Drosophila melanogaster: one gene and its partners. The protein of the gene in region 3 interacts with the protein of the main gene of each other region in a pairwise test. Each region holds a gene or a part of one and is shown on either strand. Other genes may lie near its edges.

Region 1 (8,090 bases), on a different chromosome or scaffold from region 3:
CGAGAAGGAGGAGTTCGACCACAAGCTGGAGGAGCTCACCCGCCACTGCTCCCCCATCATGACCAAGATGCATCAGCAGGGTGCGGGAGCTGGAGCTGGTGGTCCGGGAGCAAACTGCGGCCAGCAGGCGGGAGGATTTGGAGGCTACTCTGGACCCACGGTCGAGGAGGTCGACTAAGGCCAAAGAGTCTAATTTTTGTTCATCAATGGGTTATAACATATGGGTTATATTATAAGTTTGTTTTAAGTTTTTGAGACTGATAAGAATGTTTCGATCGAATATTCCATAGAACAACAATAGTATTACCTAATTACCAAGTCTTAATTTAGCAAAAATGTTATTGCTTATAGAAAAAATAAATTATTTATTGAATTTAAAAAAGTTTACTTGTTTGTATTATTGGGAACTTAATTCCCGTATTCCCGTATGTCCAACTTTAAAAATATATCTAATTATTATGAGGATATTCGCATAACACATGAAAAAAAAACAAATTTTTCTGAGTTTTTAATTTATTAGGCTGATTTAAAACTGTTTACTAAAAAGCATCTTAAACAGAAGAAATAATAATTATGTAATATTAACAATTAACTTCGGATTTTTACGCGCAAGATTTTTCTTAATGGCGCTTGCGCGGATGCGACGCGGAAGTGGAGGAGTATGCTTTCGAGCTGGAGTGGTGAGTGCTTCGCGACTTGGAGCGGGATCTCGTGCGGTGCCGCTTCCGTCCGCTGCTGCTGCTGCCGTGATCATGGCTACGGTTGCTGCCATGATCATGGCTACGGCTGCTGCTCTGCCGCGAGGAGCGGTGGTAACTGCTGCTACCGCCAGCATCTTCGCCTGAATGGCTGGACTCGCGATGTCGGCGCTGTTTCTGGTGGTGACTTCCACTAAGCTGGCTACTACGATGCTGGCGATGACTCCTATCACGGTCCCGCTCTCGCTCCCGCGCCCGCTCCCTTTCTCTGTCGCGATCGCGACGTTCGTATTTGCTCCGACTGCTGCTGTGGTGGCTGCGGTGTCCATGCCGACTGGATCGCTTGCTGCGGCTGCCTGAAGTTTTGGATCCGCTCGAGGTGCTGCTACTGTCGTCGCTATCGCTGCTAGAGCTGCTCCCACTGCTGCTAGACGATGACGAGGGGGACGAGTGGCGGCGCTTGCTTTTTTTATGCGACGACTTGTTGGCCTTGTGCAGCGCCTTGTCAGCCGCAGTCAGCATGGTGGCCACCGACTCCGGCATCTGCAGTAGATTAGTGGCCGGATTGGGAACGGGCTTCAGCTTTTGTGGGCTGCTATTGCTTAGGCTTCCGGGTGGTGGCACCACAGCGGTCGCCACTACTTGTTGCACGAAGCTCTGCGACTGCTGTTTGCCGTCCTTGTTGTCGCTAAAGCGGGTGGTCCGTTCCTTGCGACTGAGTCTTTTGCCTAAATGATGGCAATGTATGCTTAGGAGTTCTTTGGATTTATGTGCATCACCTATACCATTTGACTGCTGATGCTTTTCCTGGGTTGCTTGACTAGCCGACTCACTGGGCGGTTCTGGATTGGCCGCCGGTCGACGATGCTCACCACCACCAGTTACGGAGCGTTCTAGCTCCCGCTTGCGATGTCGCAGCAGTGTTTGCTCATCAAGCAGCTCTTGCTTGGCCACTCGATCCTCAATGTCGTCAATGACTTTCTCGAAGGATCGTTTGCTGCGCCTTATGCGAGCCTAAAAGCCAAATAATATTGAGAATTGATATCTTTTGATAATGAACGTGTGGCTAACTTACTTTCAACTCCTCCGCGCTTAGCTGCGCGCTTTTTTCGGCATCCTTTCCAGCGCCCGCTTGACGCTCATCTTCATCATCCTCATCATCCTCGGTTTCGCTGGAAGAATCGCCATAGGCAGCTAAACCTATAATTCAAATCAGTCAAGTGCTAATTGTTGCTACCAGGCTTCAATGTAGATCGGGCGCAGATTTTGGTATATTTTGAACTGATTTTCAATATCTTCGCAAGAATTTACGGAAAGGTGAAAGGAAGGGGAAATGGGGAAGCGAAAGGACGAAGAAGCGGGCTAGAAAGACCAAACTGCGCCGAGGGGGTCGAAATCATTTGGCCATGGCTTAAATTTACAGGAAGCATAGAATGTTAAATCTCGGCCATAGGAGTAATCCAATTCTTTGTAATATCTTTTCGTTTTGTGATTAGGATTTGGGGTATAGAAAGACAGGATGACCAAGCATAACTCAGACTACCTCTGAACAAAAATAGTGCAAAGAATATGTATGAACTAAACTGGAATTTGGTTACTTACCCAAGTTGCCGGTAATGGAGGACAAGGCGCTTTTGCGAATCACTTGGGCTGATGACGCTTTTGATTTACACATACATACATATATATATATAATTATATATATTATATATTAAAATTAAAAAATTCAGCAAGTGATTTCATTGGTTTGTGTGGTGTTCGATATATCAATTCATTATTAGGGATTTAAAGATTATTAGCATAGACATAGGATTAAAAGAGTTGGTAACGCGCTGTGAAGCCGGAAAAAACACGACTCCAATCGCTTGGCCGAAACATCCGGTCATCCAAGCTACAATCGATCCGCGATATATCCGCGCCGTCTTACGATCTATAACTACTTACACACACACACACGAGCGCGAGCGCTGGAAGAAATCGGTTTGGGATAAACTTAAGTATAATGCATAATGTACCTTTCGCACGGTGTGCTTTTAGAGTCTCGCCTGCAATGGCTGCAATCTCTTCGTTCGTGGTTTCCAGCAGGATTTCGGTTAGTGTCCGACGCACCACAAGCATCTACAGATGGGTGGTATTGGGTGTTCATATTCATTGTTTGCAACTATACAAATGGGTTTTTTTTTTGGATGTGCCGCCGATGGCCAGGGAATGAAACTCTAGTGAAGAGTGAACGAACTGCAGAGCAGCCAGTAAAGTGTTGTCAGAATTCCGCAGTTCCTTCGCCTCTGAGACTCACTCGATTTCATCGCCTGGCTGAGCAAACATCCGGGTCAAATGGTGATGCCTACCAGATCCGCCAGTCTTTCTTCGTAGTTTTTACCATTGACATCGTTTACGGTAGCCATTCTCACGTGCTCCGCCACTGTCCGATTGCCGGTTTCGATGGCTCCATGCAGCTCCGACTCTGGCTCTTCGCTGCTGCTGCTGCTTCGATCGTCGTCCTTACTAATCAATTCATTACCTATTTGCTGCACCTTTAGTTCTCCACGCGCCTCCACAGGCACGTCAATGGAATCTTCGCTGTCGCTAGCCTGAATTTCAAGGGAATGTTTAATCGACAGCCTGCACTCAAGCCTGCAGTCTGCTCTACTGTCCGGATTGTTTTTAAGTTTTGTGTGCTTTCAACGACGAAACATCGTTTTCAGTTTGGTTCAGTCCCGTCTAAATTTTGTGCAACCAATTTGTGTGAGATGGTGTGTGCTACGCTTTCGGCACTTTTCTGTCCGTATTGAGAGTCAGTTAACCCTGCCGCCCATCGACCTTACTTACCACGTTCGCGATGTTCAAAAGATTACCAGGTGTGGTTAGTGTTTTGCTTGATACTTGCTTAACATGGTTGACCTCAACATCTGGCGTGGTCATGGAGGATTGCTGGCGCTCTAGTTGCCGCTGCTTTTCCCGCTCCATTTTCTCCAGGCCCTCTCTGAAAGATTAAGGAAATTATTACAAGTATCTATCTTTTGTGCATCTTATTGTGGTTCTTTGCACACTCATACCTTATCCAAGCTGGCAACATTTTCCGTTTGTTTGCATCGATCTCACTGCTAGCCCCGCTACTTCCGCTTTCCGCATGCGTCTGCTGTGTGTGCTGTGGCGGCAGGTGTGTATGTGGTGTTAGGTGGTGTGGATGTGCATGCGGCTGATGTGCTGGTGGATGGTGTGGATGCGTTGGTTGGGGAGCATGCTGCTGCTGCTGCTGCTGATGCGCTTGCAACTGCAACTGCAGCTGTTGGTGCGGCTCATTGGGATTGCTCACGTTCAGCTTCAGCAGAGATGGTATATGCGCCGTGGAATTGCCTGATTTGTCGGTCTGCATTTGCCACCCGGTCCATGGCTGCTTGCCCAGCGTGACAGCTGCAAGGAACGGAGAGGAGGGTTAGTTGCTGACCTGATTTATTGTGCTATCTTCTTGGATCTTCTACAAACCCGCTCCGTTGGAGGCGTCTGGGATCTGACCAGCCACTTCGGTGCCCGCCAGCCATTGGGATTGCGTAACCAAAGGTGCTGGCGGTGGGGGTGTCTCAGTGCTATGTCCCCGATCATTCTCATCGTCCATGTCCATATCCGCCTCGCCGTGCTCCTCTAGTTGCGGAAATCCCGCCCTGACCACACTGGGCACCGGCATTGCTAGCGTCTGCTGGTGGTATTCTCGCAAATTGCTGATGATGGGCGGCGGAGGGGCCAGGGGCATGGGCACCGGAGTAGCGTCCCGCATGTGGATCCATTGCTGGGCGAGCTGCGCCCAATCGATGCCAACGCCACCCTGCATGGCGAGCGGCAGGCCGGCGGCTACCATGGGCGTCACCATGCCCTGACCGCCCCCGGAGGGCAGTGAAAAATGTGTGGGGGGTGGTGGGGGCTGCGCCAGGAACTGATTGTGATTATGGTTGTGCCCATGGCCATGTTGTCCAAGTCCATGGACGTGGGCATGCTTGTTGTAGCCCAAATCGGCGTTTCCGTTTCCACCAGGAAACATCTCTGCTTGTAGTTCGAATATGCTCTTTAAATCCCAGCTGTATTCCTCAGTTATCGAGGTTTTCTTCACGAGTGAAACGAATTTTCGTCGCCTTCTACGCCATTTTCTTGCTCAGCCCGTTTTGTCATTCGCAGCGAAGCGGTAACAGCGGGTCGCTCATATGACGGTATTTTTTAATACACTTCAGCTATACTGTTATTTCAAAAACATATTTCTTTTGTTACTTTTTATGCAGTTCATTTGCCACCAAAAAGTAGTCTTTTGGATTGATTTATTTCTAAAAATGGTGTAATTCAAGAAATTCAGAGGGCCAAGTAATATACTTAATGACCGTTATTTAAAACACACTCAAGGAGATTTATTTAAACGGCTACAATGGTTTTCCAAATAACTTATTTACTGTTGACTTCTATAAAACATAGGTGTATATATTATTATTTTTTATTGATTTGAGATAATTTTAATTTCCACAATATTTTTTCTTGTGATTAACAGAGAAAGTCAAACTCATAACATTTATCGGGTAAAAGTCTCTATGAAGTAGAGGTTAACAGTGAAGTCGCAAAAGTGTGGCCGTACGCCAATCGAGCGAGTATCCCTAACCTGCAATATTTTTAGTTGGTTTTTTCAGCAATAGCCCCACTTTTCTCAAAGAGTGCAACAAGTGATTCTGTTTATGTTTTCAACAACTTCTCTCTGCGGAACTTAACGTGAGCGGACGTATGCGGACGCGTCGCTGCCGGAAAAATAAGTTGCGTCGGCGTTGCGGCGTTGTTGTTTACGTGTTATAATAAATTTGTGTGCGTGCGAGAAGGGCGCGCTCCTGTCTGTGTTGGTGTTATTGTCGGTCGTTCTCAGCGCGAGTTTCGAAATACCGCATTGTTTAATTACAGCCGCCGCGACTAATTTCAATACAAACAAAAGCTGGTGTGTGAATGAAATTATGCTAAAATAGATAATAGTTAAAGGTAAAAGAAATTAAAAGATGAAGAAGGAGAAGAGGAAGAGAAGTTCTGCAGCGCAGTTGCGTCGGCGCAGCAGCGTTTCTATCGGTGTGTGTCTGAGTCTGTCTGTAGTGGTTTGTCTGGTTTTTTTTCGGGCTGTGTGTGTTCGTGTTTGCCAAGCAACAATTTAATTGCTATTCAATTTTAAAAGCAGTTCAATTGCAAACCATTACAAATATGTAATTTGCTGTCGATTGCTTTTGCACTGGAGTGCGTAATTACATTTTTGAGCCACCAAACACCAAACAGTGCAACTGTTGCCGCTACACTGGGAGCAAAACAGGACGGATAGATGATCAACAGTTCGTTGATTTTACAAAGACAAACGTTTTATTAATATACTTAGCATGTGATTCGATTTAACTGAAAATATATACAAATATTTAGTGGTTGCAAGTTTCTTTGTCATGTTAAGGAAACAAAAGTTCAATTTACGTCTTTATCTATATCAATCTTTCAACCATCAAAATAAAATAAAAAAAAATGAAATATCAACTTAATCTCAGAAATTTGGTATCATACGCAGATCTTGATTTTCTGTGTGCTCTGTAATGGCGTAATCGTAATCTTTGTGCCCCCTTTTAATGATTTAATTAAAAGCGTAAATTGCAGGCCGAAATTCAATTTGTCCGTTTGACTTTTCAATTCGTGTGGGTGGTTCTCTGACATTGGATCGTTGTTGTTTGCTTTTATTTAATTTTTTTTTTTTTGAGTTTTTATTGTAGTTGTGCAACAACACGCACACACACGTAGTAAATAATTAAGTTCGTGCGTCGCGTGCCGTTTTGAATTTTCTTTTTCCTTTTGCTGTGGGGCCCGGAAAATGTTCTCTTCTCACTGCGCGTTTATTTGCATTTCCATCAATGCGAAATTCGACTCGTATAAAATACAATAAAAAATCGTTCGAAAAAAACCAGTTGACCGTGAGATAACTCGTGCATAATTGCTAAATAGCAACAAAAAAGAAATATAAATACATACATATGTGAATGATTGAATTGCTGAAATGTTTAGTGTTTGTGTTTTTTTCTCCTTCTCTTCTCCCCTCTGAATGTGTGCTTGTGTGTTTGCTTTTGCCCTTCGTCAATGAATAACGGCACTTTGCGAGGTGCGAAGTCGAAGAAGAGCAAACAACAACAAATTGCCATCACCTTTGTCAGCAGAGAGAAGCCAAAAAGCAACAACTAAGCCGGCATTGGAGAAGACAAAAAGAGAGAACAACAACAAAAATAACAACAAAACGCAACTGCGACGTCAGCAGAGCCAACGAAGAAGAGGAAGAACCAAGCCTTGGTGGCCACATTCCAACGTCATCAGCCGGCGAAGGCCGGTGCAGCCGCCAAACCCGGGTCACAGAATTCTTTCTTTCGCCGGAGAACTCACCTCTCCCCAACTGAAATTGCTGAAACAACATCTGCGGGTAAGTCAACTTTGACAGTACAGACAGCACTCGATAAGTGGCACAAACTTTCAGTGGGCTGTTGTAGTTGAGCTTAAGCCTAGATTTATGTACCTTTTTGTCTCTTCTACGAAGTAAACTTGCTTATGTTTTGAAATAACGTGGTTTAGTTTCAGCCATCCACTGCACACTGTAGGTAGCAAGTACATCAACGTCAATTTTGTGTTGCTCTCCTTCCGCGTTCTTGTTGTTGCTGTTGCTGGGTCACGCCCACCGCCATGAGAAAACATTTTTGCGTAGAAATTACATATTGTTTCGTTTTCACATCCCAGGAACCCCACCACCGCCCAACTCCCCGCCTGCTGCCCACCTGCACCATCGTGTTTTGTAGCTTGGTTACGGACTGGTAGCCCCCTGCTTCTGTTACCACGATTTCGGCGAGCCTCTTGTATTTTTATGGGTCGTCATCCATCGTTGTTCTGCCAAGCGCCTGAGGAAAGCCCCTAGCCCTCCATCGCCATCTGCATCTCCCGACTCCCAACTCTCTGCTCCATGTTTCACCTCCCGTATCATCAGGTCTTCGCTTTCTGCTCATCAAAGCACAAAAACATTCAACGGCCGGGTGCCTCAATTATGTTAATTATGAATTACTCCCCGGCTGTCTCTTTTGGTATACGGCTGCATGGTTGGGCGTGTTTTTTAGTTGGTCTGCTAGAATGGGGGCTACGAGCTTAAGTGGGGAGCGCCAGTTTAATCGGTTACGTGGGCCATTGATATGAACCATTGCTGATTTCGACGATCCCATGGCAATGAATTTCCCTCCCTATATCCACACAAATTTTGAAATATCTTTCTTGTACTAGCTGTTCAACGGGTATATGATAGTCGAGGATAGTCGAGCATCTGCAGACTGCAATATTCGCCACCATACTTTAATTTTATCCGCCATTGAA
Region 2 (7,248 bases), on a different chromosome or scaffold from region 3:
GGTGGTTTAGATGGTTGTTCTGGGTGGTGCGGCATTTGACCTGAGACTGGGAAATATGCAACAGAGTTTAAAGTAAATGGATGCGAAGCCCCAAAACTGGATGGCCTTTTAATTAACATGACAAAACATCAGAAAAATCATTAAATGTGGAATTTTATCTTCAGGATGAAGATGAATTTTCAATTCCAACTTTAAATACAATAAGTTCGATTGAATTTAAATCTAATAAGCCTAAAAAGTGTTTTAATTTTTGTCTAGGAGCCTTAGCAAATTTTGAAATATTTTAACAGAAATCATTGATTAAATTAAAAAAGTAACTAATTTATATATATATGTTGAAAAATGTAAAGCGAAATATTTATCTAATTATTTAGGGCTGCGCTTTTTACCAACAAAATTTAAAAGCTTATCTCAAGAAGTAAGTTAACATTGCATCCTGGGGCTTTGATTTTAAATTCTTAATACCACAATCCCACCACCAGTTCCAAACACTTCAAATTGTGATCAAATACATTTTTGCAGTTTATTTGTCTGTTTGCATGTTCATATAAAATATAGATCTATATCTGGTCAGATACATAAAGATTACAACTGTTATTTACAACATACTCATACAGCGTTTCTCAATCGAAGTAACAGGAGGATAAAGATATAGATAAAAAATGAGGGAAAATCCTAGTACAGAGAGAAGTATGTAGGTAGGTAGGTAGAGATGTGTGTGCTGTGACTGGATCGAAAATCCAAATCGGTCAAAACCCAGCGGGCAAGGAAGGCTTCTAACGAAGCACTTCAATCTCCCGTGTGTAGTAGCTTTCAGTTTTCCGTGTGTTTTTGTGACAGAGGTTAAGAAATAGAAGCAGTAATAGAACAGATAAATGTATAGAAAGACAGAGAGTTGCGAATGCTGTATAAAAGTGGCACTGGCGAGCGAATACGCAATGCAACGTTACGCATACGCCACGCTGGCTTCGGTAGTCGGTTAGTCAGAGTGTATAGAGATGCTCGTCGTCGATCGGAAGTTAAACTTCTCTCAAGTGCCGACCACTCGTCACTTAATAGTGGTCATAGTGCGCGTGGTACTGGCCATCATCCTCGTGTCCATTGCCACCGTAGTAGCTACCATGGCTGGCGGGAGCTCCATGTCCGGCGGCGGCCAACGCATTCAGATGCGCGGCACGGGCGTGCTGCACCTCGGCAGGCTCCACGGGCACTCCGTTGTGGATGACCGGGATGTGGATGGGTCCCTTGTGCGCATAGCCGGAGGCGTAACTGTTGTGGCTGCTGTGGCTCTGTTCCCAGCGTCCGTCGTAGCTGCCATCATCCCAGGATCCATGCGAGGCTCCTCCGTGGGCGGAGGCCTGGGACAGGGCGGCGTAGTGGGCGGCCTTGGCATGCTGCACCTCGGGCGTATCGACGGGTACTCCATTGTGGATTACCGGCACGTGATAGCCACCGTGGTTAATGGGGGAAACGGCATGTCCAGAACGGGCGGCAGCATGGGCGGCAAAGTGCGCAGCCTTGGCGTGCTGCACCTCGGGTGTCTCAACGGGAGCACCGTGGGCATGAGCTACATGGCCAAGGGCTTTGGCGTGGGCGGCATAGTGCTCGGCCTTGGCGGCCTGCACATCGGGAGTATCAACGGGCACACCTCCATGAGTCAGCGGCACATGGGCGGCTTGTCCGTAGGCCCATCCTCCGCCGTAAATAGACCGCTTGTACAGGTGGTGTCCTCCGGCATTGTGGGCGGCAGCAGCGTGGGCAGCGGCATGGGCGGCCTTGGCGTGCTGCACTTCGGGAGTATCGACGGGGACGCCTCCGTGGGTCAGCACCGGGATGTGGATGGGTCCGTGGGCGTAAGGAGCATAGGCGCCATGGGCGTGGGCGGCAGCGTAAACGGGAGCGGCATGAACTTGAGGAGCCTGAGGCAGGTTGGTGCCCACGGCGTTGAAGCCATGGTGCGGATCAGCGGTGTAGGACACCGACTGCACATGACCGTGACCATCCACGTAGGAGTAGGAGCCGTGCGTGGTGCCGTCATGGCTTCGCGTCTCGTGCTTCTGTGAGTTGGGATCGGCGTATCCGTAGGAGTAGGTGTGGCTGTGCGGGTCCAGGTGCTGGTACTGTGTGGAGACGGCTCCGTGCCAAGAGGCGGACACCGTCGAGATCAGCAACGCTGCGGCAATAAACTAAATAAAAATGGGAAATTATTTTTTGTAATTTTGATGTAGCTGATAAAAAAAACTAACAAATTTCAATATAGCTTTACAGAACTGATTTTTATATATTAAATATATATATAATAATAATTAAAAATCTTTTTGATTTTGCCTATGTTGAATTCCGATTAGAGAACTTTTGTACCTTCATCTCTTTGAATATTTCAAATTATTTAACATATAGCTTCTACATGTTTCTCACAGTGCAGAAGGTGTTAGGCGTGGGATTATGTGACTGCTCAATAATTACTCGTGCGGTAGCCACCGCCCAAAATCGTTAATCGCAGGTGTCACTCAGTGGAAGCTTATAAGCCGCCTCTGCTAACCTAATTACAGGCTTTTCGCTTTTCTTGCTCTTGCGCCAGCGTTTTCCTCTCGCTTTTCTTGCCCCACACGCCCATCTTTTCGCTTTTCTCCTGGACTCGCTTCTCCTCTGGATTCGCTTTTCCAATGGTTTCGCTTTTCAGAGCCGCGAAGCGCAACCGTTAGATTTGATTCCGAGATATGTAGTCAGTAGTCGGTCGGTCGGCCAATATTCGTTCGAAGATATTACCGCATGCGGCGCGATTATGTACGATATTATGTGTCAGCAGGTGAGTGGGGCAGAAAGTGGTGGAAAAACGGTTGAATAAACTGTCCGACATGCAACATGTCAGCGGCTTATCAACGGGATTTCGCACGGAGTTCCATGGCAGCTGATGGTTTGCTGGGTGGTACGTTTAGCATGACGTGCCATGGTAATTGACTCTCGGATGGAACTGAACGATGCACAGGTGCCATTTCGTTCGGAGCGGAATTTAAGCGAAATAAATTGAGTTTACAAAAGCAATGTCAGTTGAATTTTAAATTAATTGCGCTATGACAGATTAAAAGAATGCCAGGAATTCATTCAAACTTAATGGCAAGTCACTGTCAAACTAGTGTTTACTTTTCGAACGGCTGACAAAATCCAATTTAAAGATTTGGTATGCCACACTTCTCTCTTGATACCGATTAACATATCCCAAAGATCGAAAATGAAAAAGCAGTTCTAACTAGCGAAACCTGGCTGTGGACTTACATAGTTCCATTAAACTACGATTTTAATGAACTTAAGCATTTCATGATAGAATCAATCAATTAAATGAACTTTTGCCCACTTTTATGGTAAAATTTTGTAACTTTAAGAAAAATAAATTACATGCAGAGACGTTAATCACTAATTTGTAGAACAGAAAAAGTTAGAAATGTATCTCAGTAATTCAAGCACGGAATCCAAATATCCTTTTCTCCTCACGGTAATCTACACACTCCAACTCATATTATTTATAACTTTAATCCTCTTGCTCGGCGTTATCCTTTCGATCCCATGGCGCATACTTACGAATGGCTTCATTTTAGCTATGATCACACGATTGAGCTTCGAAAAGGAGTTTCGGGGACACACTGCGGATGAACGGAAAACTAACTACACACGACACACGGGCACAGGCACTGGTCGCTGGACGCTGGTTGAACCTCCTAGAACCACGACTAGGACTGTTAACGAACTGTGCTGACTGCTGGCTGGCGGCCCTAATATATACCGCCCGAGACCAGCGAGCCCGGAGACTGGGGATTGGGGAGCAGAGACACTGCAGCCGAGACTCCGGCTGAGACGCCGGCGCATGCGCAACATTGGTAACAGCAGCGAAAACACCGCAACACCAGCAATATCGGGCGTTCAACAAAAGCCAACAAAAGCCAACGAGAGCAAGAGCAGAACAATGTGTGGTACCAGTTCCAGAGTAATCGAATTACCACTTTAATCGGGGCTCGAAGCGGGGTTTGGCCAGAGCCGAAGTGGATATCGCAGCCGAAGAATGTGTATCAATCGCTTGCAGTGGAGTGCCGCTGCAGCATGTTGCTGGCCTGCAGTTGCACTGGCAACATGTTGCTCGTGCGTTTCCGCGCTGCGTTTGTCACTGTGGAAAAAATCACAGCTGCCATGACCTTGCTTTCAACGCGATTTAATTGCCGGTATTGGTTTCAACCTGGCTTCAACATTAGGCGATTAATGTATTTTATTTGGTGTTGTTTCGGGTGCTAGTTCTTTGACTTCCGCGGTGCGGACAATTAGCACTCATTATTTGGCCACGGGATTAGGCCGATCTTATCGATCAGTGCCTTTCCAAAAAACGCCCAAGAGCCCCGCCCCAAGCGCAACGCTCGATCAAATTAAAAAATTCTTACCCACCGCTTGCAACATGCCCCAATGGTGGCCATAACGAAATGTGAGCTGGCCAATTTCTGGGCGTTTGCCTCTTTAATCATTGAACTGCATCGGAAAACGAAACGAAAACTTTGCAAATTAAAAAAAAAGGAGAAACAAGAGCACTGCCCAAAGAAGCAAGCGGAAAACAAAAGACAGCAAAATGGATTTTCTATTCACTTTTGGCCACCGCTGTTGCCACATGTTGCAGCATTTCTTTGCTGTCCGCTAATCTAGATGTTGCACTCCCAAATGCACTCATGCACTCGGAAAATCAAAATTATTTAACTTAGAATGAGCTATCCTTAACTAAGAATAATCCCTAAGAAGAGAAAATGATATTCGTCGAATGCTAGGTGAGTGAACGATTTCGAAAGAAATGCTGTTGTAACTAATTTTTGTATGTATCTTAGTTGAATATCCCAACTTCTTAACAATTATTGAGTATCTTAGTTATTAAAGAGAAGAGATGATTTTTTTTCCCCAAAATGTTATTATTTTTTTATAGCTCAGTTAAACATATAAATATATATATATACATAAAGAAATAAATATAATTTAATGTAATGAATTTCGATTCCGTATCCGAAATCCGATTGCATTTTTTCTGCAAGTGCAGCAGTGAGCCTCTCTTGTCCGTTGCAATATAATGAGTGCTTGCACCCTGGCTAACTTTGATTATTTGCATTCGATAAGCGAAATCGGGAGGGCGGTTGGCTATATGCGCCTATATACTCGTTTATAGTCTATATGGCACACTCCATATTCTTGAGTTCGTATCGGCAACTTAATTTGTTTGCCTTTGCCTGCCACCAATTTAATTTGAATAAACCAAACCAACTTCAAACTGCTCTTTTGAACCCGCATGTGCTGTTGTTGTTGTTTTTATGCGCGGGCGGGCGATCGGTTTGGGGCGTGTTTGACATTTTTGCGGTATGCGCAACATTATAAATTATATTTTTTGCCGGTGCCACTTTTGTTTTCATTTTATTAGCTCGGCCCACTGTCGACAGCTGTGGGCCGACTGCCTGAATGAATGCCTCGACTGGCTCAAGTGCAATCCACACATTTGTGGATTTGTCGAGGTGCCCACCTTCAGCCACCTTCAGCTTCAGCTCCAACCCGACCCGATCCAATCCAGCTCCATTTGCGAACGGCGTCTGTAATTATGGTCTTGGCTCTCAATGCGAACGCTACTGGCCGGGTGTCGGGCATATGAATTCTGATCGGTATCTGGGTGAAAATTAACTAATTACCTGGTAATAACGCGTATTATGCAATCAGAATCAATTTATCTAAATGCATTCCTAATCTAAGCGTAGCCAGACTTGGATGTATTTTAAAATTGATATCTTTCAATGCTACTGATCACATCAAATGTATGTGCTAGGAAATCGGACAATAAAATTTAATTGACTTGGGTACAAATGGATTGAAAAGGAAATAGTAAGTATTTGAAAAGTCTAGTATAACGAAATAAAAGTAATCCCAGAAATCATTTTTAATAGTTTATGCACACGTTTTTCCAGTTTGTAGAATTGAGAATTTGTTTCAGCAATTTGTTTCAGTGTTACCCTTTTGGGCTTACTCATTGTTGGCTTAGCACGTTCCAATGCCAAGCTGTCTTTCCTTCAAATAAAAAAGAAAAAACAAAAATATTGAAAACTATTTCGTACCACTTGCGAGACCCCAGAATTCTCTGTATCTGCAGTCATTTTTGTGGATTTAAAGATACAGGGAATGCCAAACAATTGCGAATAGCAAAAAAAAACTTTCGAGTGGGCGTAGGTTGGGCAGCAGTTACTTGTTGCCTTTTGATCCATTTGAATATATGCAAATCAGGTCTGGATGCGAACTGCATAGATGTTTTTCAATAAATTGCCTGCTCGATTTCAGTCTTTATTCAATTGCCGTTATTTACAGTTATGGGCCGGAAAAGAACATTTGCATCTGCATGGAATTACCTTGGCGTAGGCAGGTGTTGCGTCTGCAATCGTTTGTTTTCTGATTCCGATTGCGTACATGCACATGGCTAAATCATGTCCAATTAATTGAACTAGCTGTTAAACAACATAATTAAGATGAATAGCGGGTGGTGGTGTTATATATATCACTACTTGTTCAGTGGCTGGCCACTTGCGACCGGCGAAGCCATTAGGCAAATGAAGCGTGGCTTGCTTCTAGCCGCGGCAATTAGTTGTAATTAATATTTAAAATTCTGCCCGCAAGACAATAAAATTCTTCATGACGTGTCGCAACGGAAACTGGCTTGGCCAATACCAGTTGCAATCGGAATTAGCATGGCAACACCAGCGCCGATGCCTTCTAGCCTGGTCACGCATCACCGAACCAAAAGACAGTAACTCCGCAGTCTAAAAACTCGTCAAAATATAAATGCTAAACAGCTAAACCTTTGAAAAACTTGAAAAATATATGAAATAGATTGAATGTTTCTATATCTATTCACAAGAAAACAGCGATTTGGAAGGCAGGTCTCTTTAATTAGTCATATAAATCTGCGTTAATTGGTAATTGTTAAAAACACAAAAGACTGCCATGAAATCCGCGAATTTGTCCCATCGTACCATTTTGGCATTGAAATTCTTCTGGTAGTTGGTTTTGGCCATTCCAGACGCTATGCCCTGGTTTGCCCAGCGATGTGGATGCAGTGAAGCGTTTAGTGCCTTTAGGCCATGCGGATGCAATCGGGGTGTAAATGCCCTCTTGGAAATGGCTAATTGAAGGCAACGGCAATAGCAATCGCATTGCTTGATTTCGTTCTTTGGCTTACATTTGCGCTTT
Region 3 (7,129 bases):
GCATATTTCTTGTTTAATTATAATTTTTCGGGGCTCACTTAATGAGCGCGCTCCACTTGGTCGGCGATCTTGTTTGGGAGGCGCGTGCCGCAAAGCGACACGACGCCTTGGGTGGATTGCCACATCCAAGTTGGATCGAAGCGTAGCTCTGGCCTGGTAATCAGTTGGCCAGCTTGTATATAAGCAGCCTAGGACTACCCAGATTAATTACTTCGATTTCGATCTTTGTCGAGTGCATTTCAATACCCAAAGAGTTCTGAAAGGACCAAAATACCACAAAATGATGGGAAAAGTGAGTGGAGTGGAGGAAAAAGGGTGCGATACAAAGGATTCTAATGCATAGAGTGGTGTCTTCCTTTTAGGTTACCTATTTGTTGTGCCTGTGCCTGGCCAGCGCCGTTTGGGCCATTGAATTGCAGGCGGAGCCGGACTACGGACCAGTGGCCTACGAGTTCCAGTGGTCGGTGAACGATCCCCACACCGGCGACATCAAGAGCCAAAAGGAGTCCCGCAAGGACGACAAGGTCGAGGGTGTCTACGAGCTGATCGATTCCGATGGCTATCGCCGCATAGTGCAGTACAAGGCGGATGATCACAACGGTTTCGAGGCAATTGTCCAGCGTGAGCCCACGGACATCAAGATACCGTTGCCTGAGCCACCCAAGAAGCTCCTGGCCGCCAAGATCCTGACTCCCGTGCTACCGGTGGCGCCACTCGTCCACTACGCCGCCCCCAAGGCCATTATCAAGCAGGAGCTGTCCGCCGGGAACTATGTCTCTGTATCCGGACCAACAGCACAGTACAAGTACTAAAAGGATCTAATGACTGACTTCAGCTGCATAAACCCATTAGGAAACCCGTCTTGACCCGGGAAAACTCACTGCCATACATCATAATTTAGTTACAATTAAGACAATTGAGTGTACATACAGACAGCTTACATTAACCTACAATAAAGATGCATCCCATTCAATCTGTTCGCAGAGGAACACAAAAACTTGGATTTTTTAATATAGGGAATATACTTAAAAGCTGGGTGAGGGTATTTTATTGATATAAAAAAAAAAATGAGTAGTTGAGTAGTGGTTGTGTTGCAAACATACTTATATAAGTGTGAAGATCAGTTAAGAAAAATATAAGCCAAGTGAAGAAAAACCACATTATGACAGTTCACAAGTGTGACACAAAAAAGTGAAAGATTATTAAAACCAAAAAAAAAAAGTGGTGAATGAAATGCTTGACTTAGTTCAACTCGCTTGTGTGTTTGGCTTCTTCAGTGAATTCGTATCATTATATTTGCGAATTGATGTCTCATAAAATGATGCGTCACGATACAGGTGGCTTCGATACTGTGATAAGCATAAACTAATGCTATCGCCGCCAGACGCGACATGGCCCATAGATGCCTCTAATCTCACGTAGCTGCTGCCACTTTGGGGGCGTCCAATTACCGGCGCAGTCGACGTCGTCGATGGCGATTCTATTGGATTTGGCTAACGCTCTGACCAATGCATCCATGGAGCATCAGTGCGAAAATGGTCGGCTGCCCGGAGACACGACAACTACTGGTCACATTGCTATTGACCCTTGGCTTCTGCCTGGGGGGAAGCTCAAAGGATACAGTTGCGGATGCGGATGCCAAGTGGATGGCTCCACTTAAGCAGTATGGGTATACGCCGCAGCATCTGAAGAACAAAGTGGAGCATGGTGAATTCACCACCTTCGAACTGGGCACCCCCAACTACCAGATTCTCAATCCCGAAGACGAACCGGAATACATAACTGCGGATCAACCGCATTATCAGGAGATGCTGAGGCGACTTACCAGTGGTCGTAGTAAAGCTGACACCATTGATGTGGAAATGGCAAGTCGCACGGAAACGGTTCGCGAGACTTCCGATCCGGGTCAATCTAAAAAACCATCTCAAATTCAAGTGCCAGTTAAACCGAAGACACAACTAAAACAAAATCGCTGGGAGAAACTAAGGAAGCGCAGCTCCATCGAAAAAAGACGTGACCACAAGGAAACCATGGAAACTGATGTGCGGGATGATCAAAGTTTCTTCCCTGATATTCAGGTTTACCCCGGCTTACCCTTCCAAAGTCGTGTAGCAAATCTAAATTAATCATAAATAAGTCACCTCATCCAAATGTGCAAATGGCTTTGATTTTAAGTGATCTCTGGTGATTCGGACAATGAATAAATACTAAAAGTATAAAAGTAAAAAAAATAAAGTACTTTTTTAAAGGACTACTTTAAATAAATCGGAGTTTTTTGCTATTTTTCTTTGTAAGGCTAAAATTGTTATGACTTTTACTCGCAATAATGAAAATAGTGATGTTGCTTATTTTTGTTAAAACAAAAAAGATTAAGAGTGCCCCCAATTTTAAGCAGAGTTTTCCCAAAATGTTGTTTAAATAATGAGCTAGACAAAATGTTAAATGGTCAAGATACTATTATTTAAATCAGTAAAGCTTTTGTACTCAATTTGTAGGAAGATAATTTAGGTATTGAGCAATATCGCTTACAAAAATACCATTATCCATAGTGTACGTGTAGACCTTGAGTTCCACAAAGAATTACAACCAAAAATTGATAAGTCAATCGACCCCAGACGTTAATATCAGATCTAGGCCGAGACCCAGAAATTATAAATCCCCCAAGCAGCTGGAAATTTTGTGCAGAACCGAAAAAATGATCATTGCGGTCGGAATGGTTTTGGCTATTTATAAAATTAAAGATTTCAGGAGGATTGTTTATTCTGGCTAATGAGAAACTGCCTAAAAAAAATGCATTATGAAGTTCGTCTTTCTCTTAAAGGTTATTGTCATGCCAAAGGTCATACATAAATATGTTTGCTATATGTTTTTGATTAAACAACTCTTGTCGCGAGCACTCCAAGCTATCGACGAGTGCGGGCAGAAATGCTTGAATGTGTATTACGGAAGCGGCGGCATCTGGCGATTGTCTTTACCCATTCCGGACCCATTCCGGACAACCACGCCCCATTCCGAGCCGTTTGGGGCGTTTGGAACGTGATGCGGTCAACGCTTCCGCGACCCATTTGCTCGGCGTTGTAAGAACGAGAAGAAGAAGCTCTCGGCCAGCGCAGCGTATTTAAGAGCTATTCAGCAAAATGCATGAAAGAGTTTCGCACGCGACCGACCAACAGCCAACAAGTGCCATCCATCGGCGATCCGGGACAGAAATTCCAGCAATTGTGGGGAAAGTGATCGAGCGAGCGAGGGAGAAATTCAGTTGAAAGGTAGGGTAACGGGGTCAATCGATTGGGAACGATTCCGGCGCAATTCTCTGACCCATTCTAAATTCAATATTCTCCCCCCTTCAGATGTTCGAACGCTGCAATTTATTATTTATGACCATGCTGATGGCATCGGCACTATTGACCCAAGCCCATTTCCCGGAATATTGTGCGGAATGTGAACAGGAGGTGTGGGAACAGGTGCCGTGCAGCGAGGTGCCCACAACGGTAGCGCCAACAACAACCGGAGGCTCTACGTTGAGCCCGCCCACAACCAGCGCCACCAGCCCGGGACCTATTTACCCAACAACAACCAGTGCCCCACCCACGCCCACGGATTACACTACACAGCCATCGGAGTACAAGAAGTGCTACTGCGAATGCAAGCTGGGCTGCAAGGAGTTCTGCCGCAAGGTGATCTCTTCTGAGCCCAAGCAGCCGCTCACCCAGATCTCATCCATTGGGGAGTATGCCCCAGGTGGCCAGGTGGAGTACACGCATGTCCATCAGCGCAAATACTTTCCCAAGTACGGAGGCGAATCCTATGGGGGATTGGTAGGACCAGTGGGCGGACCCAAGGCCTATAAGCCATATCCATTGGTCTACGAACAGGCGGCATCAGCTGCTTCACCGGCTTCCATTCCCTCGGTGGCTTCCTCACCAGCGGTGGCCAGCATAGCTGCTCCTAATTACACGCTGGAGGAGTTGGCCCAATTGCTTAGCACTGCGTATGGCACCAAGAAGGGCTACCCAGCTAGTGTGCCAACTCCGCCACGTATTCAGCTTCAGCCAGCTCCCTCCGTTTTCTATTCCCCGGTTCCAAGCTACAAAAAGCAAGTGGTTCCACTCGTGAGCAAAGTGGCGCCGGCACCCAAAATCTCCTCCAGCATTAAGTATGCCGCCTCAGCGGTTTCATCATCATCATCGGGCGTGTCGGTGGCCAAGATAAAGACTCCCTACGAGGAGAAGATTGTGGTGGCCACACCGTCTCCCATTTATGAGAGATCCACATCGTATCCTATTGTTGAAGCACCCAAGGAATACTCGGCGCCCCAGACGGAAGTCTATCCCGTTGTGCAGAGCCAAACGGAGTCGTATCCCAGCCACACACCCATATATCCAAGTCCCACGGAATCCTATCCCAGCCAAAAGGACTCCTACCCCAGCATCACAGAGTCATATCCCAGCCAAACTGAGTCCTATCAACCGCGTACGGAAGCCTATCCCGTACCCCAACCGGAGATCAAGCCATATGGTGGTCCCGATTCTGGACCCGATAAGCCATCGTCCACGTTCGATCTGGCCATCGATAATTATCTGAAGGACTTCGGATATGGCAACCAAGGAAGGGGATATGCGGACTACTAAAGTTCCATACGTTGTTTTTTAGGATTAGTCTAGGCTAGAATGTTTTCTAGGTATCCCATTATTTATTGATGTACTCCCCGTTTCCTGTTGACTACATGATGATTAAATAAATTATTAACAAAAAACTAAAGAATATTATGGTCTTAGTATTATAGTTGAAATAACTATTGCATACTTTTGGGCTATAAAGTAGCAATTTCCCCCCTTCGATTTTGTTAAAAGAATTAATGAAACAAGAGATAAAAATTTACAAGACTAATAAAATTATGAAAAAAAGCTTTTATAGTTCCTGAAATCTCGACTTTCATACGGACATAACCAGATCGACTTGGCTATTGATCCTATTGATCAAGAATATATATACTTTATACATAGTATAAAGTAGCGAGTTTGCTACTTTTCAAAAACGATCATTTATAATTCGGCTTGACGCATTTTATTATTTGTATTTAAAAAGTTTTCTTCATTTGCATTCATTTTTTTATATACTTTCTTGTTGTCGATAACATTGAATAAGATTTCATCTTACGCATTTCGCCAGCTTAATTCTGGTTTATGCTTGCCAATTTTGATAAGCATAGATATATACACAAATTAGATTCATAAATTTTCGTATGCAAATATATATGATTTATGCAATATGAATGTTTTCAAACAGCGCTTATTTAACCGTTGATCAAGGCGAATCCAAATTGTTTTTGGTATTTCCAATTTGTATTTTCACAAATTTTACGCACCAGCTCAAGTCTTTCATTTTCTAAGGTTTTACATTTGTGGAGCTTATTCATTTCAATTTTCTGTATGACACGATCTAGAAAGGATGTCGGATTGAGAAAATTTCTATAGGCACACACAAAAATAGCCATGGAAATCAGAAAGTTATATAAGTAGCTCACTATAATTGCACTTGATAGGATATAAATATTCAACAAACGAAGTAATAAGAACAATTTGCATAGTACACTTGCAAAGATGCGAATGTGCGGTTTTATTTATTTTCAATAATGTTTGCATATAAAATAACAAATAAAAAAGTGAAATCATAATATTTAGAACATATTCGTACATTGTAAATGAAGTGAAACTAAAAACGATAAATTGCAACACTTTGAAATAATGACGTCGTCCCAGCTATGAATTTAAACGTAAATTATCGAGAAGAAAATATAGTTATAGTTATACGATATTTTAAAATGTATATATACAGCTTCATTCATTAACAATCTCGATCCGTTGCTTTAAAGAATATAATTTTCGGATTCCATAAATCTCCTTAAACCTTTCCGTATTCAATTTCGTTTCGAAAATGTTCAACTGGTAAACCAAAAACAGAGCCCAAGATACCTGATATCTTGTAGATACATTGCAGTTGCTCCTTTAGTTGTTGGTGCTGTTTTCGGTCCCACAAAATTTTGCTAATTATACAAATATATGTGTCACATTGTTACACTTTAAATATATAAATATGAGTACTTGTATTATTCGGTTGCCTTTTTGTTTTGATTAAGTTTGCTGACTAATGCATTTTCAATTGCAAATAGGAAAAGTTTCTTGGTTTTTTTGGTTTTCGGTTTTTGGATGCCTTGCATTTGCCTAGTTTTGCTTTCGTATTATGTATTACATTAAGTAGCCGTAGATTAAATATATTACGCGTTTATTTATCATGATTAAACATTGATTAGGTTAAGTTGTTGTTGTTTGTTTCTCTTTTTGTTTCATTTTGCCTTTATCTTTACATTAAATGTGTAGAAAAATTCGTTAAATTGATTTGCATATAGTTATTCGATCTCACCTCCAGCTCACCTGGTTAGCCACAAATACAAAGTTTAATTGGCTCGACAAATTAAATGATTGGCTGCACAGCCACGCGATTTAAGTATGTATTTAGTTTTGCTACGATTTGTGCATTGCAGTTCTGCGCTATTTAGTTAATTTAATTATCCATTATTTGGCTGCAGTCTAGACTTGTAATTCGATTTCTTTTTCCCATCTCTAGCGTGTTTCCTCATGTTAAACATATGATATACATTTATGGTACTTTAGATACTTATATAAGTTCTGCTTTATATCAACTCATCACTGCAAATGCTAAAAACTTATTAGCCCTCACCACGACACTGGTTGTGGGCCATCCAATATGACCATAAAATTCCCAGGTCCAACGGCGAATCCCGAACTATCGGTGGCTGCCAAACGCACTGTGGCTCAAAGCCAGTCGCTGCCCCGAGTCACCCAATCCGAATCCGTCCCTGTTCCGCGTCGTCCTGTGCATCCTCCGGCGCTAGGTGAGCATGTAGACAAATAGAAGCGCCAACGCCACGTTGAAAATCAGGACGAGCAGCATCAGCTGCTGGCGCACAAACCAGTCCTGGATGGATAAACAACATTGAATTATATTCAAAATATGGTGTTAATAGTTTAAATAGTAATTTAAAATTCAATTTCAATTTTAATAAAAAATGTTTTCCGTATTAAGTCGAAATTCGATTAGAATTTAT

The links. Proteins that work in one complex are often made in the same cells at the same time.
Region 1: the proteins of CG13114 (region 3) and CG31211 interact in a two-hybrid assay, tested with the Drosophila melanogaster proteins (one large-scale study listed by BioGRID).
Region 2: the proteins of CG13114 (region 3) and Cpr92F interact in a two-hybrid assay, tested with the Drosophila melanogaster proteins (one large-scale study listed by BioGRID).

What each region holds. Positions count from the first base shown.
Region 1 is NT_033777.3:11,946,449-11,954,538, reverse strand, and holds CG31211 (uncharacterized protein), read right to left. Parts: upstream 4,860-8,090; 5' UTR 4,735-4,859; coding exon 4,185-4,734; intron 4,113-4,184; coding exon 3,755-4,112; intron 3,682-3,754; coding exon 3,528-3,681; intron 3,290-3,527; coding exon 3,047-3,289; intron 2,817-3,046; coding exon 2,714-2,816; intron 2,358-2,713; coding exon 2,301-2,357; intron 1,899-2,300; coding exon 1,774-1,898; intron 1,713-1,773; coding exon 621-1,712; 3' UTR 501-620; downstream 1-500. Other genes in the region: Hsp70Aa (heat shock protein 70 Aa), read left to right, coding at 1-178.
Region 2 is NT_033777.3:20,666,074-20,673,321, reverse strand, and holds Cpr92F (cuticular protein 92F), read right to left. Parts: upstream 3,752-7,248; 5' UTR 3,592-3,751; coding exon 3,580-3,591; intron 2,187-3,579; coding exon 1,053-2,186; 3' UTR 501-1,052; downstream 1-500.
Region 3 is NT_033779.5:9,542,667-9,549,795, forward strand, and holds CG13114 (uncharacterized protein), read left to right. Parts: upstream 1-3,144; 5' UTR 3,145-3,266; intron 3,267-3,350; coding exon 3,351-4,631; 3' UTR 4,632-4,758; downstream 4,759-7,129. Other genes in the region: Cpr30B (cuticular protein 30B), read left to right, coding at 281-292, 363-812; CG13113 (uncharacterized protein), read left to right, coding at 1,509-2,126; jp (junctophilin), read right to left, coding at 6,913-6,999.